Ovis aries: one gene and its partners. The protein of the gene in region 3 binds, or shares a complex with, the protein of the main gene of each other region. Links are inferred from orthologs where the notes say so. Each region holds a gene or a part of one and is shown on either strand. Other genes may lie near its edges.

Evidence for each region.
Region 1: the proteins of TNFSF13B (region 3) and TNFRSF13C are in contact, whole or in part, in a crystal structure (PDB 1OQE), measured with the Homo sapiens proteins. The link is inferred for Ovis aries from reciprocal best matches to the Homo sapiens genes TNFSF13B and TNFRSF13C. Residues at the interface, in NP_006564.1 of Homo sapiens: Ser162, Tyr163, Asp203, Thr205, Tyr206, Ala207, Met208, Gly209, His210, Leu211, Thr228, Arg231, Cys232, Ile233, Pro264, Arg265, Glu266, Asn267, Ala268; in NP_443177.1 of Homo sapiens: Asp26, Leu27, Leu28, Val29, Arg30, Val33, Leu37, Leu38, Arg39, Pro41, Arg42.
Region 2: the proteins of TNFSF13B (region 3) and TNFRSF17 are in contact, whole or in part, in a crystal structure (PDB 1OQD), measured with the Homo sapiens proteins. The link is inferred for Ovis aries from reciprocal best matches to the Homo sapiens genes TNFSF13B and TNFRSF17. Residues at the interface, in NP_006564.1 of Homo sapiens: Ser162, Tyr163, Lys204, Thr205, Tyr206, Ala207, Met208, Gly209, His210, Arg231, Cys232, Ile233, Glu238, Pro264, Arg265, Glu266, Asn267; in NP_001183.2 of Homo sapiens: Tyr13, Asp15, Ser16, Leu17, Leu18, His19, Ile22, Arg27, Ser29, Ser30, Asn31, Thr32, Pro33, Pro34, Leu35.

What each region holds. Positions count from the first base shown.
Region 1 is NC_056056.1:218,762,359-218,767,130, forward strand, and holds TNFRSF13C (tumor necrosis factor receptor superfamily member 13C), read right to left. Parts: upstream 3,257-4,772; 5' UTR 3,204-3,256; coding exon 3,068-3,203; intron 2,707-3,067; coding exon 2,452-2,706; intron 1,938-2,451; coding exon 1,756-1,937; 3' UTR 1,297-1,755; downstream 1-1,296. UniProt on the Homo sapiens protein: B-cell receptor specific for TNFSF13B/TALL1/BAFF/BLyS. Promotes the survival of mature B-cells and the B-cell response.
Region 2 is NC_056077.1:11,192,022-11,197,165, forward strand, and holds TNFRSF17 (tumor necrosis factor receptor superfamily member 17), read left to right. Parts: upstream 1-1,548; 5' UTR 1,549-1,674; coding exon 1,675-1,792; intron 1,793-2,363; coding exon 2,364-2,495; intron 2,496-4,344; coding exon 4,345-4,631; 3' UTR 4,632-4,838; downstream 4,839-5,144. UniProt on the Homo sapiens protein: Receptor for TNFSF13B/BLyS/BAFF and TNFSF13/APRIL. Promotes B-cell survival and plays a role in the regulation of humoral immunity. Activates NF-kappa-B and JNK.
Region 3 is NC_056063.1:83,041,886-83,046,502, reverse strand, and holds part of TNFSF13B (tumor necrosis factor ligand superfamily member 13B), read right to left. Parts: intron 2,325-4,617; coding exon 2,212-2,324; intron 2,126-2,211; coding exon 1,975-2,125; intron 1-1,974. UniProt on the Homo sapiens protein: Cytokine that binds to TNFRSF13B/TACI and TNFRSF17/BCMA. TNFSF13/APRIL binds to the same 2 receptors. Together, they form a 2 ligands -2 receptors pathway involved in the stimulation of B- and T-cell function and the regulation of humoral immunity.

The sequences.
Region 1 (4,772 bases), on a different chromosome or scaffold from region 3:
ACCTCAGCCAGCTGATGGCTGGGGGGATGGGGGGAGGCATCTGAGATGTGTTCAGGATGGAGAGAAGAAACTCAGATGTGGCTGTCCGGTTCTGGGGGCCGCCAAACGGTGCTAGCCACTGACTATCTTCTGAGCTGGGGAAGGGCTGGGCCAGAAGGGCAGGTGTCTACTGGGCAGCTCTGATGGGCAGGTCAGGGACAGATGGACAGAGAGATGATGCATGGAACAGAACATGGTCAAGGTGGGAATCCTCTGGCAGTCCGGGGGTTATAACTCCAAACTCTCATTGACAAGGGCATGGGCTCCATCTCTGGTCAGGGCACTAAGATCCCACAAGGTGTGCAGCATGGCCCAAAAAAGAGAAACTAATATGGTCAAGAACCTACAAGGAGGATGACATGGTATACTCAGAGTACCATCTTCTGACTCCCCAATCCCTTGCCCCTACCAAGGGTGCTAAACTGTGACAAATTCCAAGGCCATAGTCAGGGTAGAGTCCAGGTCAGCAGGATCTAACCCTCCTGATCGCAGGAGGTTTGGCAGGAAAGCCAGCAGCTGACTGAGCGCACAGCGTGGTCCAGAACTGGGAGAGAGAGGTCTTGGTTCCAGGCCCCAGGGCAGGGGGCACCCCGTCAGAGGAATAGTTCCACTGGGGTGGTGGATGCCTGACTTGGGGAGCACAGGCCACAGAGCGAAGGGCACTCAAAGGACATCAGGTCCAGCTGGTTTGAGGGCACAGGCCTGCCCTGGCCTCCTAACTAAGAAGCCTCCTGCAGGTCCTGGGCCCTGCCCTGTATACAGCTCTGTGTGCCCCGGAAGCCGCTAGCACTCCAGGTGGGCTCATGCTGACGTGCTGTCAGCATGCCATCAGTGTGCAACTGCAGTCCAGCCCCACAGGCTCTAGACTTCTTCCCAAGCATGAGCATGGGGCTCTGGAAGCTGCCACCAGGGCAAAAATGGCATCACAGATCTTAGCAGGTTGGGCCAAGCTCAGGGGTGACCCTAGGATACAGATACCCAATAACCAGCACAATTCAGGCTATTTCTTAAACTCATCTTGTAATAAATCCCAAAGCAAACCGGTCAGTTGGTTACTCACTGCTGCCATTTGCATCGGTTTAAAAGCGGGACAGCTCTGAGAGCAAGTATTAAACACAACCCGGCTGCAAATTAAGCATCCTCCTACTCAGTGCTTTCCTAGATTCATTCTGGTTTATGGTGGTTTCCCCAAGCTTAAAGAAAAACTCTACTCAGAGTATCCCAACCACTGAAAGAGCACAGAGCTCAGCCACTACCTTTGAGGACTATGACAGATGGTATGAGTTTATTTTGTGTATTTGTGGTCACTCAGTCGTGTCCAACTCTTTGCAACCCCATGGAATGTAACCGCCAGGCTCCTCTGTCCATGGGATTCTCCAGGCAAGAGTGCTGGAGTGGGTTGCCATTTCCTCCTCCAGGAGATCTTCCCAACCCAGGGATCAAACCCGCCTCTCTTAATGTCTCCTGCATTAGCAGAAGATTCTTTACCGCTAGCGCCACCTGGGCAGCCCAGTATGAGTTTAAGCCAAATGCTAACACGCAGTACAATGCCATGCAGTCCAAACTCTGTGGTCTGGGTGTCTGTAGTTCTGCAGGGTTAGCGGGGGAGCTTCCAGAAGGGACAGTGGGCGCCGGAGTGAAGAACTGAATTCAACCTTCGAGTCCAGCTGGTGGCCCATAGAAAGGGTGGGGGCCGCCTCCTGCCCTCCTCGGTCGCTACTGTAGCTCAGGCCCGGTCGTCTTGGTGGTCACCAGCTCAGTGGAACCCAGCTCTGTGGCTGGCACAGGGACGCTGTGGGTAGGTGGGGTGGCCGCTGGGTCTTCACTGGGCAGAAGCCAGATGGGAGCCGTGGCATCCAGGGTTCCGGGGGAGAGTGTGGTATCAACATCCAGGGGCTCTGGGGTGGAGAGAGTTGTGGGTGGTGCAGGGTCAGGATTGGCTCGCAGCCGTCCCCACCCCCTGTTCTGGAAGCCTCCCTGGCGGGACAGCCCTCTGACTGATGGGAGAGCAGTCAGCTGATAAAGCCCCACTGGTGGGATGGGGAGGGGTGGCACGTGATGGGCCCTCAGGACGGGAAGTTTCTAGAGCTGGCTGGCAAAATGCCAGTGCTGACAGAGGGCGAGGAGAGGTGGGAACCGGTCTGCCTGTCCCAGAGAGAGGGCGGGACAGGCCACCCCCACCCCCAACTGGGCTCCCCAGCCTTGGATTTCTTCTTCACACAGGTCTGGGACGCTAGAGCTGTGTCCCTCGCCTGGATTGCCGGTCTCTGGTCGGACTATTTCTCTCCCCTCGGCCTTGCCTCCTTCAGACCATCCCTCCCCGTTCACCCAGACCCCCTCGGACCCCTCAAGGATCATGCCTCCCCTCCGACGGCCCCCAACCCTCTCCGGTCCCCTAGACGAGGAACTTACTGTCTGGGTCTCCGTCCGGGGCCTCCGCGGCCTCCGGAGCCTCAGGGACCACCGCCGCGCCCGGCTGCCGCCGCCGGCGCTTCCAGGTCACCAGCCCGATCAGGGCCAGGGCCAGCGCCAGGCCCAGCAGCGCGGGGGCTCCGAAGAGCAGCGCCGGGAGCGGCAGCGCCGCTTCGGCCTCCGCGGGGGTCCCGGGGCCCGCCGACTCCTGCGGCTGCAGCGCCGTCCCGGGCGCCAGGCTGCTTGGGCCGCCTGCTGGAGGGGACGGGCAGGGGGAGCAGGGGGCGGAGGGGAGGGGGGCGTGGGGAGGGGGAGGGCCGGAGGAAGGTGAGGCTGGGCCGCGGAAGGGGGGGACGGCCGGGCGGGGCAGCGCAGGCCGAGGGGCGAGAGGGGGCCGTGAGGGCCACGCGCCGACGGCTGGTCCCCCCTCCAGGCCCCCGGCTCACATTTCCCACCCCACCTCGCCAGTTAACCCGAGACCCCGCCCCTCCCCACAGTCCCGGGACAGGGCGGCGGCGGGGGTTGGGGGGGGCCTGCCTGCGACTCCTAGCATCCCCCTCCCTCCCGCTCCAGGGCGGCCCCGTGCGCGCGCCATGCGGCGCGGCTCGACTCTTACCCAGCCTAGGCTCCGTCGTCCGGAGGAGACTGCAGGCCACACAGTTGCGGACCAGCGGGTCGAAGCACTGGGTCTGCAGGCACTGCGTGGGTGCCGGCCGGTCCTTGCCCCGCAGGCTTCTCCGCCCTCGCGGCATGCTGCCGGAGCCTCTAGCCTTCTGCGCATACCCCCCGCCGCCGGGACGAGTCTGGCCTCTGCTGCCCCGCGGGGAGGGAACCGGGCGGGGCGCCACCCACTCCGCCCCAGCCCGCCCTCCTGCCTGCTGGAGTGGGACCACTCTTAGCCCGCGGACCAGCACCCCAGACCTTCTCTCTGTGGTTTCTCCATTCAACCATCACCCCTAGACAACCATGGGGCGGGCCCTATTCTGGGCTCTGAAATCAGGCTGGGACTGAGACCCGGGGGCTTGATCTTGGGGCACAGAGGATGGGCCCCTTAAGCAGGATACAGAGCTCTGAGGTGGCCTCCCCAAGGCCAGCCTGTAGTCCCAGGCCATCCTCACCAGTCCTCTTTCCCTTCCTGCCTCCTCCTCCGGGGAGCCCTCCTGTGCTTCTTAGGCAGCGCTGGTCAGATCCTCAAACACAACCGGAGTGCCCACACTGTCCCAGGCCCCCGGGGGACTCCCGCACTCGGAGGTGGCACTGGAGGAGGGAGTGCCTCTCTGCCGCAGCATCACTGAAGGTGATCCCCACCGGGGGACAGGGAAGCTTCGTGGACAGGGCAACTTTATGGACAGGACAAGCAGGTGTTTGCTAGATGGAGTGAGGTCCACTGGAGCAGGCAGTGTAAACAAAGGCCTTCGGCCAAATCCAAAGGCCAGGTAGTGTTGGGACCAGAGGGCGGGGCTGGGGCTTTGACTGAGAGAAGCCAAGACTGGCTGCACGGGCACTGGGGCGCCATGGAGGGCTTTCAGCAGGAAGTGTCCCAGTCAGACCTGCCTGTTAAGCACTGGCTGGAACAGAGTGCATAGATGGGTTAGGTCCAGGGATAGCTCAGTCTCTAGCTCTTAAGCAAGAGGGAGACTCAGACCAACCAGTAAACAGATAGACAGACCAAGGCCCAGGAGGCGGTAGGCAGCCCACCCACCTCGACTTCTTTTTCCCAGGGCTGTGTGTGTCCAGGCTGCTCACCCCTCTGTCTCATCAAGGCCCCTTCTGTCTCTCTACTCCCTAGTGTTTGGGGCAGCCCCACCTGACTCTCACCTGTGTCTCTCGGGCCGAGTCTCAGGCAGACACACAGCCCCCTTGGCCTTCCTGGACAGATGCTGGACCCCCTACCTGGAGTGGCGGGGGGCCGAGGCTAGCAAAGAGCCTCAGGAAGGAGCATGGACTTGGTGCCCTCGTGGTGGGCCGTACCAGACCCCTAAGCACGCAGGGCTGGAGGTGCACAGAGGAAAGAGTAACTGTCCAGGGAGCAGGGAGGGGACTCAGGGCCAGGAGTAGATCTTTAGTGGCTCAAGCAGGAGGGAAACCTTGCCGACAGAAGGTGGGACGGACAAGTTCGCAAGCAAGAGAGGGGCAAGGGGAAGCTTGGCTGCTGCCTTGGGGGTCCGGGCCAGGCCTCGAGCCACAGGCCCTGGGGGGGGTGAGGAGCCCCAGGAGGTGTTGGAGTGGGTGAGATTCTTTGAGCTGTGCCTTCAAAGGGACCCTCTGCCTGCTGCTGTGGAGCTGCAGCCTGGCCAGGGTGGGCAGCGCAGCAAGGAGGC
Region 2 (5,144 bases), on a different chromosome or scaffold from region 3:
AAACAAACAAAGAACACACTGGTAGGCCTGTTTGCAAATTCTGTTTCACACACCCCAATATTAACGGTGATTATTTCTGTATGCTATGACTATGGATAATTTTGCTATATGCACAACTGTTTTTTCGAAGTTTTTAACAGTGGAACACAGACATTGGAACATTCAATAGACATTGGCTAGACGTCCAACAGTGGAATATAGACATGACATAGACATATGTTATAATATTATGTTAATTTATTGTTGTTGTTCAGTTGCTAAGTCTTGTCCGACTCTTTTTGACCCCATGGACTGTAGCACACCAGGCTTCCCTGTCCTTCACTATCTCCCAGAGTTTGGTCAAACTCATATACATTGAGTCAGTGATGCCATCCAACCATCTCATCCTCTGTCACCCGCTTCTTCTCCTGCCTTCAGTCTTTCCCAGCATCAGGGTCTTTTCCAATGAGTTGGCTCTTCACATCAGATGGCCAAAGTGCTGGAGCTTCGGCTTCAGCATCAGTCCTTCCAATGAATATTCAGTGTTGATTTCTTTCAGGATTGACTGGTTTGATTTCCATGCTGTCCAAGGAACTCTCGAGAGTCTTCTCCAGTACCACAACTCGAAAGCATTATATTAATAGTCATATATTATTATTATGTCCCAAATATGTCTTCCTCTAGCCCTCTTTTACCTACCTCTTTTTTTTTTTTAACCTATTTTACCCTAGAAGTAAAAATAGAAGTTGCCTCTTTTACCCTAGAAGTCTCTATTTGTTGGAATTCTGGGATTCTTCCTAGGTTTAAAACTTGGTAGTCATGCTTCATACTCCTTTTTTCTCACATTCTTCTTTCTTAAAAAAAAATTGTTCATTTGGCTTCATGGTCTTAGTTTCGACATGCAGAATCTTTAGTTGCAGCAAATGAATGCTCAGTGGGATCTAGTTCCCTGACCAGAGATCGAACCCGGGCCCCCTGCATTGGGCATGTGGAGTCTTAGCCACTGGATTACCAGGGAAGTCTCCCCCTCTCACATCCTCTCTTCCCACTATACTTTGTGGTTATTTGAGTGCATTTCTATCTCCTCTAAGAAATGGCAACCCACTCCAGTATTCTTGCCTGAAAAATCCTATGGACAGAGGAGCCTGGTGGGCTCCAGTCCAAAGGGTCTCAAAGAGTTTGACACAACTGAGTGACTAAACAGGCCTCCTCACTGTCTCCTCTGTTAGGTTTTAAGTTCTTCAGTGGCTCAGACCTTGTCTTATCTCTCTCCTTGGGGCCCATCACACAGGACAGCTCACAGAACAGATGCTCCAGAAATGGTTACTGAACCTTTTGCTTGATGCTTCAGGCTTGTTGACAATGCCACAATTGTCACCTGCCTGAGAAATTTCTTCTATAAATAAATAGTTTCTGTTTCAAGTATGGTTTGCTCTTGCTGCATATACCCCCTCTCTTACTCCACTCAAGCCTCAAACTTAGAAACTGGAATTAGTGTTGGTATTCAAATCCTTAGCCACAGTGCAAAGAGTCAGCCCCCTTAAGAACCAAGTCATCAGTGTGAAGTTTGTTTTCTTCCTCGACATTCCGGCTGCCGTCACTACATTTGCTGAGGAATTCTCAACAAGAGCTCACTTGTCCTTCCATGCCATTCTTTCTGCGGTTTCCTTGTTTCTTTTTGTGATCCAGTTCCAGATGGCTCAGCGGTGCTCCCCAAACGAGTATTTTGACAGATTGCTGAATTCTTGCATATCGTGTCAACTTCGGTGCCCTAATACTCCTCCCATAATATGTCAGCATTATTGTAACACAAGTAAGTAATCCTGTTTGAATGATCACTCATTGGTGTGAAGTATTTGCTCTGTGTGTGTGTGTGCTTAGTTGCTCAGCTGTGTCTGACCCTTTGTGACACTATGGACTGTAACCCACCAGGCTCCTCTATCCATGGGGATTCTCCAGGCAAGAATACTGGAGTGGGTTGCCATGCCTTCCTCCATGGGAATCTCCCCAACCCAGGTCTCCCACGTTGCAGGCAGATTCTTTACCCTCTGAGCCACCAGGGAAGCCCAAGAATACTGGAGTTGACTGTTTATTCAAAGAAGAAACATTATGGGAAGGTGGTGAGATTTTCTGAATCAAAAAGAGAAAGAAAATAAGGCAATCATTTAAATGCCAACAGGAATGGATACTTTTTCAGAGCTCAACTCTATTTTATTCTGCAATCTTAGCAACATAGATTTTTATCATCTCTCCTAATTAAGTATTAACTTAGAATTTAAAAGTCAAAGCTGAGGAATTAGGGGAACTGGATGGCAAATAATCTTTACCTGATGTGAATATTATGTTATCAAGTTCATTCTCTCTCTGACGTTCTTTTGATTCAGTGAAAGGAACAAATACATTTCTCTGGACCTGTTTGGGCCTGAGCTTGATAGTTTCCTTGACAGTTTTCGTATTGATGTTCTTGCTAAGGAAGATGAGCTCCGAACCATTAAAGGACAAACTTAAAAACACAGGTTGGTTTGATGGTTGATCTTTGAAATCTCTTTCCAAGAGGTGGCTATTGTGAATTTCAATTCCTTTTTTTCCTTTCATGTTGTGTATCTCATCTGGTAAGTGCCCTTTTGGGTATGTTAGATGACAGTTGGGTTAAATGAACTTGGGAGAAGGGAGCTTCCTTTCTGATGTTTACACCTTCTTTGTTGATATCGTACCATGTCAGCCTTCTTCAACATTCTTCCTTTGGTATTTACTCTTTTGAAGTACTGAGGCCTCTTTGGGAAATATCCATCTCTTTGACCAACGTCAGGACATTGATTAAACATCACACTATCAGAAATAGCTAGCCGGGTCTGGTACTATCCGAAAAAAATGTATTTGACAAGATTGGTGGCCGTATTTTTATACAAATACAAGTGGTGTTTGCTCAGATGAACAGTCTACTGCTGAAAAAAAGCTAGAAATGAATACCAATTGCTCCTGGATTATTTAAGCAATCATCTCAAAGATCTTTATTAAGCAGTAGAGAATCAGTCCCAGAGAAGTGAATATTCTGTGGAAGAGTTTTTTTTTTTTTGAAGAGTTTCTTAAGAGAAAAATATTTCGGCACCTTTGCCCATGATCTAATTTCTAGACCGCTTTGCAGTCATTGCCCTATTTCTTTATGTGTGTATTTTCCATGCAGAATCTATAAGGCAACATTTCGTCTGCTTTCTAGTGCAGAACGGGGAGGAAGATGGCTGTTTCATATCATTTACTCATTTCTCTTTTTTTGCCTGGGGCCTGAGAGACAGATGGGGAGTGACTTTAAGTGTGACATTTTGGACGATGGAGGTATACCATGGAACGTTGGGAAAGTATTAAAACATGCCTGCGCAGGAGTGTGATGGGGACACAGCGGAGACTCCTTCCTTATGGGATCATGAAAGTTTCATTAAAAAAAAAAAGTAATCTGCCCAATGCGCTGTAAGAGAAACATCTTTACTTTGAATTGTGAAGTGTCACCCAAGACTCATTTTGGTATGCTGTAACACACGCTGAGCCGTCAGTTCACAGTTGTAAAAAGGGTCGGTATCTTAATGCATCCAAGGGCCAAGTGGGTCAGAAACGAATGTAGTGGGTCACTGGAGGTTCGGTGATAGGGGACCGCGTGCCCAGCCTGAGGAAGACAAAGGCTATGGACTTCCAAGTGTTTTCTTGTGGGAATGTCAGTTCCCACTGGCCACATTTTTTGTCTTAAAAAAAAAATAAGGTAAAAGAGGGACTTCCAGGGTGGTCCACTGGTTAAGACTCTGTGCTTCCACCGAAGAGGGTATGACTTTGATCCCTGGTGGGGGAAATTCTGCGACCCTTTGGACTTTGTGACCCTGTGAACTGTAGCCCACCAAGCTCCTCTGTCTGTGGGATTCTCCAGGCAAGAATACTGGAGTGGGTTGCCATTTCCTCCTCCAGTGGATCTTCCTGACCCAGGGATTGAAACTGTGTCTCCGTGTCTCTGCAGTGCAGGCGGATTCTTTACCGCTAAATCACCTGGGAAGCACCCCCAAGTCATGAGATGTGGCCACAAAAAAGAGAGAGAGATCAGTTGTCTAGATTTGTATGTACAATCTCTTGATTTTCAAACGCGGGCCAACATTAAACAGATAAGCAAACACTGTAAAAATACTGTGTGCCATAAAGCGAGCATGTCTTTGAACCCAACATGGTCCATGGTCTTTCAGCTCATGACTTGGGGTGTAAGGCCTGCTTCTTTTGGGGAAAGACTTTTGGCTCCTGTTGCTTTGATCCCTGATGCATGCTGCTAAGTGTGGCACAACCAAGCACCCTGAAAGCTTTAGGATAACGGTTCTGTTTTTGTGCAATCAGGAGCGGTTCTCCAGAAGAATGCTAACGCAGACCTGGATGTTAACAATAACAGCAGTATTGTGGCTGAACCTCTTCTTTTGAGAGGCCTGGGGTACACAGTAGAAGAATGTACGTGTGAAGACTGTGTCAGGAGCAAACCGAAGGTCGATTCTGACCATTTCTTCCCCCTCCCAGCCATGGAGGAAGGCGCGACCATTCTTGTCACCACGAAAACAAATGGCTACTGCGACAGTCTGCTAGCTGCCACCAGTGTCACGGGGATGGAGAAATCAATTTATACCAGATAATTAACCATGTTAAGGGTATAGAGTTACTTGGAAAATCTTTGTCCTAAGGGAAGGATGGTGTCTCAGATCTCTTTAAGATGATTGTATTTATCAGCAGATGATATGGCTTTCCGTCCTCTAATTTTGGAAAATCTTTATGTTAGCTATATTTTTCTACCTTATTGTTGGGAGCTTAACTCTGAAAACTTCCTTGGTTTCATGATTAAATTGACTCACTGAAAAAAAAAAACAAAAAAATCACTGCGATGTGTAGATTCCATAGTCACATATTTCTATGGTTAGGCAGCTTCTCTCCTACACATGGGCACATACATTTCAGGACAGACTAGATTTCTCTCTTTATTGTTAAAGGAAAGCAATGTATTCTCTGTATATAGGAGAAGCCTGGAGTCAGCCACCCTCTTCAGTGTGCAGGGCATGACTGGTTCCTGACTTTGGGAGCTTTCAGCTTCATGGAGTCATACAGGCATTATTATAATCATATGAATGAATGTGTAGCTGCAAACTGTGATA
Region 3 (4,617 bases):
TCTTGTGTTTCGATAACAGACCAAGATAGACAGTAACAAACAGTAGCAGAACTCAGATATTATTAAGGGTGACGTGCACTCTTTCAGGACTCCTATGGCATTGGATGATTACATTAGGTAGTAAAAAAAAAAAAAGATTAAAGTGATTTGTTGAATGATCAGTCATTATCATAGATACTCAAGATAATCTAATAATTTGACAAAGGCTATAGTTCACAGATCATTTGGTAACAGTAATTCTCAAAGTCGGTGTGAACTAACTACTTTTCAAAGTAGGTCCTACTTAAAATTTCAACACTGAGTTCCTGGCTATTTCAGTTCTTCCAGATGGTAGCAATTGCTAATTTGTTAATGACATAATGAATAAGAATCAGTTTTGTGTACAAGAGAGGTTCCTTGGTGTGATACTGGGCTCTTCAAATGGACCACTTTAATTTTTTTCAGATTATTATGGAAACACTTTATACACCGATGTGTAGCTTTTAATGATTGTAAAACAGAGTTTCTCTAGAACAGATAAAAACTGCAAACCTGAAGTTTCCTAGAAGAACACTTTTTGTAAATGATGCTAAGCTATCAGCACTGAGATATACCTTTAAGGTCAAGTTATTTAATCTTAAAAAATAAGGCTAGGAAGTAACCTTGAGGAGCTGATGATCAGAAAAATTTATAAAGGAGTCTGTTGTAAAGCTCTAAGTGCTAATTAATGTAAGTAAACGACAGGCTGAAGTGACCTCACAATTTATAGGTATTTTGCAACAAGAAATACTGGTTACCACAGGCTGCAGGATAACAGTTCTCTGTGAAAATTAGGGAATTCAAATCTAAGCAGACTTCCTCAGCACCCCGTCAAAGCTCTTTACGGCTGTGGGTCCAGAATGGCAAGCATCTGCATTATTATCCTTTCTGTCTTGATTCCTGGCGCACTTGTCAGTACGTGCCTTTGGAACATACAGCTTCAGAACACACAGCCAACCCCCACTGTGCGTTCCACACTGTCATTCACGCGGTCTGGAAAGGAAGACATTCCTTGGGGTCGTGAGTGGAGTTGTCAAAACCACCAGAGAGAAATAAATGTGTTTAAGGCAACTTTTTTTCCAAGTACTGGCCTTGATTAGTTTGGAATTACCCCCAAATAAAATGAAGGCTTTGATGGCAACTTGTTTGGCTGAGATGGTTGGATGGCATCACTGACTCAATGGACATGAGTTTGAGTGAACTCTGGGAGATTAGCGAAGGACAGGGGGAGCTGGCGCGCTGCAGTCCACGGGTTCCAAAGAGTGAGACACAGCTTAGCGGCTGAATAACAATAACTGAAGGCAATCACAGCCCAGACAGACCTGAAATGAAGGCAGCCTGCACGTCCTCTTTCCTCTCCGGTCCTCTGGCCCTGAGTTGAAGGGCAGGCTCACTCCTACCCTTTCGCATCCCACCCTCATCCATCTGGTGTCCACTGACCCCAGAAGAGAAACGGTGCCCCTGGATCTGACATTCAAAACTGGCCAAAGGGCATTTCTTCCACAGGAGGGAGGTAAAGAAGAGGTGAGATTCCATGACTCCCACTCAGGGCACACTGGCTGATTTAAACCAAGTTCTGGAGTGGATCAGCCGTGCAGCCCCAGACCATGTGTGCTCCGTCTCTGTGTCTCAGTCCCCACCTCCCTTTTTAAAGGAGGATTAAAGCAGGGAGCATGGATGGGTGTGCCTGGCACAGGTCATCACTTTCTTATGATGCAAGCACTCTTACCACAGCTCCAAGAAAACACAGCTTGTTCTAGAGTGGATCACTGTGAAGCTACTGCCCTTTCTAAACGTATATAAAACCGATAAACTTACTAGTAACTAGTTAGCTAATAATTAAAATCTAAAGTAATGATCGCATCTGTCTCTATCAAAACAGACTAACTTATCATTTGAGACCATAAAACCCACACAGTATGTCTTTCTGTCTATGTATATAGAACTGTTATTTACCAGCTGAGTAACAGGAATTATTGGGTAGTGTTTCAGGCATGTTTTGAATACATCGAAACAAAGTCACCAGACTCAGTTCGTCCCCAAAGACATGGACTTTTTTCCTCTGTATTAGGTGTCCCATGGCAAAGGTGTTATCGGTGTATAAAACCTGAGGAACAAACCAAAGAACTTTGTCAGAAGTCAGCACGAAACGGGGGCGTTGGACAGCGGCGGTGGGTTCAAGGTCAGACCTACCTGACCGTAGATAAAGAAGTAGCCTGTCTCTTTGACCAAAATTTTATTCTCTTTTTCTTCTAGGGCTCTTCCTCTTTTAAAGCTGAGAAGCCAAGGAACAAAGGTGTACGCTCCTACAAGGAAGAGAACGGTTTTTAAAGGAAAAGAAAAACCCCGAGAGACGCAGTTTTTCACCTCCATTTGAAACAGAGCAGGACTCTATGACCCCTGCCCCCGGACCATGTCCCCTGCCTGCCCTTTTTCCATGGAAAACTTTCGTCAAAGAATAAGTTTAATCAGAGAAGTGAGAAATGCTGCACAAAGGAGAACAGTCTCAGGAAACTAGATAGTAATAGTCATTAGCCATCGTCAAGGACCCTCAGCTCCTTCTCGAGGGCTACAGATCACGTTCTGAGCCACATCCTGTGAGCTGTCTTATGGATACTGAAACCCCAGGTGGAGGAGTTAACTAATGATGACCAGACCATACCCAGGCCACGAGCTGCCCCAGTTCCGAGAATTAACCACAAAGAAATGAAACCAGTGCACCTGGGACTGAAGATTAACTGTACCTGAAATGCCCAAGACGACGCTGGTCAGACGGCTGACGACCACCCTGGGGATGACTGTCAGAGATGCCTGTGCTGCTTCTGCACGTGGCCCCCCTCCCCTGACTCTGTCTATGGAAGCTCTCACCCGCTGCTGACAAGCAGGGGGTGGGGGAGGAGTCGGCCTTTGGACAGGTGTCCACCCCTCTCCCCCATAAGTTGCCAGCATCTGAAATGAGGCAAACTTTCCTTTCCAGGGGCCTGGTTTTTGGCTTTTGAGCGGTGAGCAGCTGGACCCGACTCACATACCTTTCGATAGCATGCTTAGTTACTAACCTAAGTGTGAAACTTAGAGGAGAATTTCATCTTTTAAAAGGGACCATCTTCGGGCGATTTCTCAGCGTCATTTACATACTCACCCAGGCCAGCTATCAGATACAGGAAGTTGAAAGCAAGCGCTTCATATGTCATGTCTGGGGTTTTGATCCCTTCTGTATTTCAGCAACTTTCATAATAATGTCTAGTCTGGATGGGAGCGTTTGAGGCCAAAGAAAGGTCTCTGAATAACACACCGAAAGAGATTTTCAGTTTCTCTTTGAGTCTGTTGGGGAGGAGAAAAATTTTCCTCTACCCTTCTTTGAGGGGTGGGGGTAGAAAGGAGAGAGAAGGCAGCAGGGAGGGGCCTCTACAGCTCACCCTTCCTTTCCTCAGTTCCCACACAGGGGGCAGCCCAATCCCCCCCGCTTTCTGTTCCCAAAGATGGTCTCCGAGAAAGCCCTTCCTATGGTGCAAACCCTCCAGTGCCACCCTGGGTGACGACAGTCCACCAATAAAGATCTCCCTGGTTACACAGAACAGAGGTAACCTCATCATCGCCTGTTTTCATACGACATCATTTCAGGGAAAAGACTATAATGCTGTAGCTTCAAATTCTGTTTAGAGATCACGTGCCCACAGCATTCTTTAAGGTAGAGTTCTGAAAACGCGAGGAAGAATTAATATCAGGGTTGTTATTATTAAAAATTATAAATACAAGCTGATGACTGAAGGCAACTATTTTCACGTTTTATTTGACACTCTGAGCACAGAGGGCTTCTTGTCCACCTTCAAAACCATACACATCTTAGAGTCCAACTTCTCTGAGCTTGGGGACGGTTCATGATTGGGTCCCTGCTGTTTCCTCAGGGCCTTAAATGATGCCTGACCCCCAAAACAAATGCAGCAAATATGTCTTTAAATACATACTAATCATTGTACTGTGCGATTAGTCACTAGCGTTCCATGTTTTAAAAGCCTCTTACCACCTGGTTACTGAATCTCTGGGAAATGAAACACTCTCCATCAGGGAGGTAATATGAACTCTTGACGTGAAACACGTATTTCTAAGTCTGCACGCCCATATTCTGACTAGACATATTTACTGACTACAACATTTTTTTTTACAATACTTTACATTGATCCCCTATTTCTCTACACCATACTTATACCTATAAAGTTAGCCAGTTCTTACCAAATCTCACCATTATAGTGTCAGAGGAAAAAGAAAAACAAGACCTTATTAGGCTTCTATTCTTATTCTCTCTTTTATTTTTGGCACTTCATCTTATCTTGCTGGAAATATTGTTAGAGAGAATCATCTACTTGTTTTTATGTACTGTGTATATTTCTCCCCCAACCCTGCCCACATACATGAGAGCACATGCACACACACACACACGCACGGATTACACTCCACCCAGGCGGCACGAGCGGTAAAGAATCCACTTGCAGGAGACACGAGCGATGCAGGTTTGATCCCTGGGTTGGGAAGATCCCTTGGTGTAGGCAATGGCAGCCCACTCCAGCATTCTTGATTGTAAGGTTCCACGGGCAGAGGAGC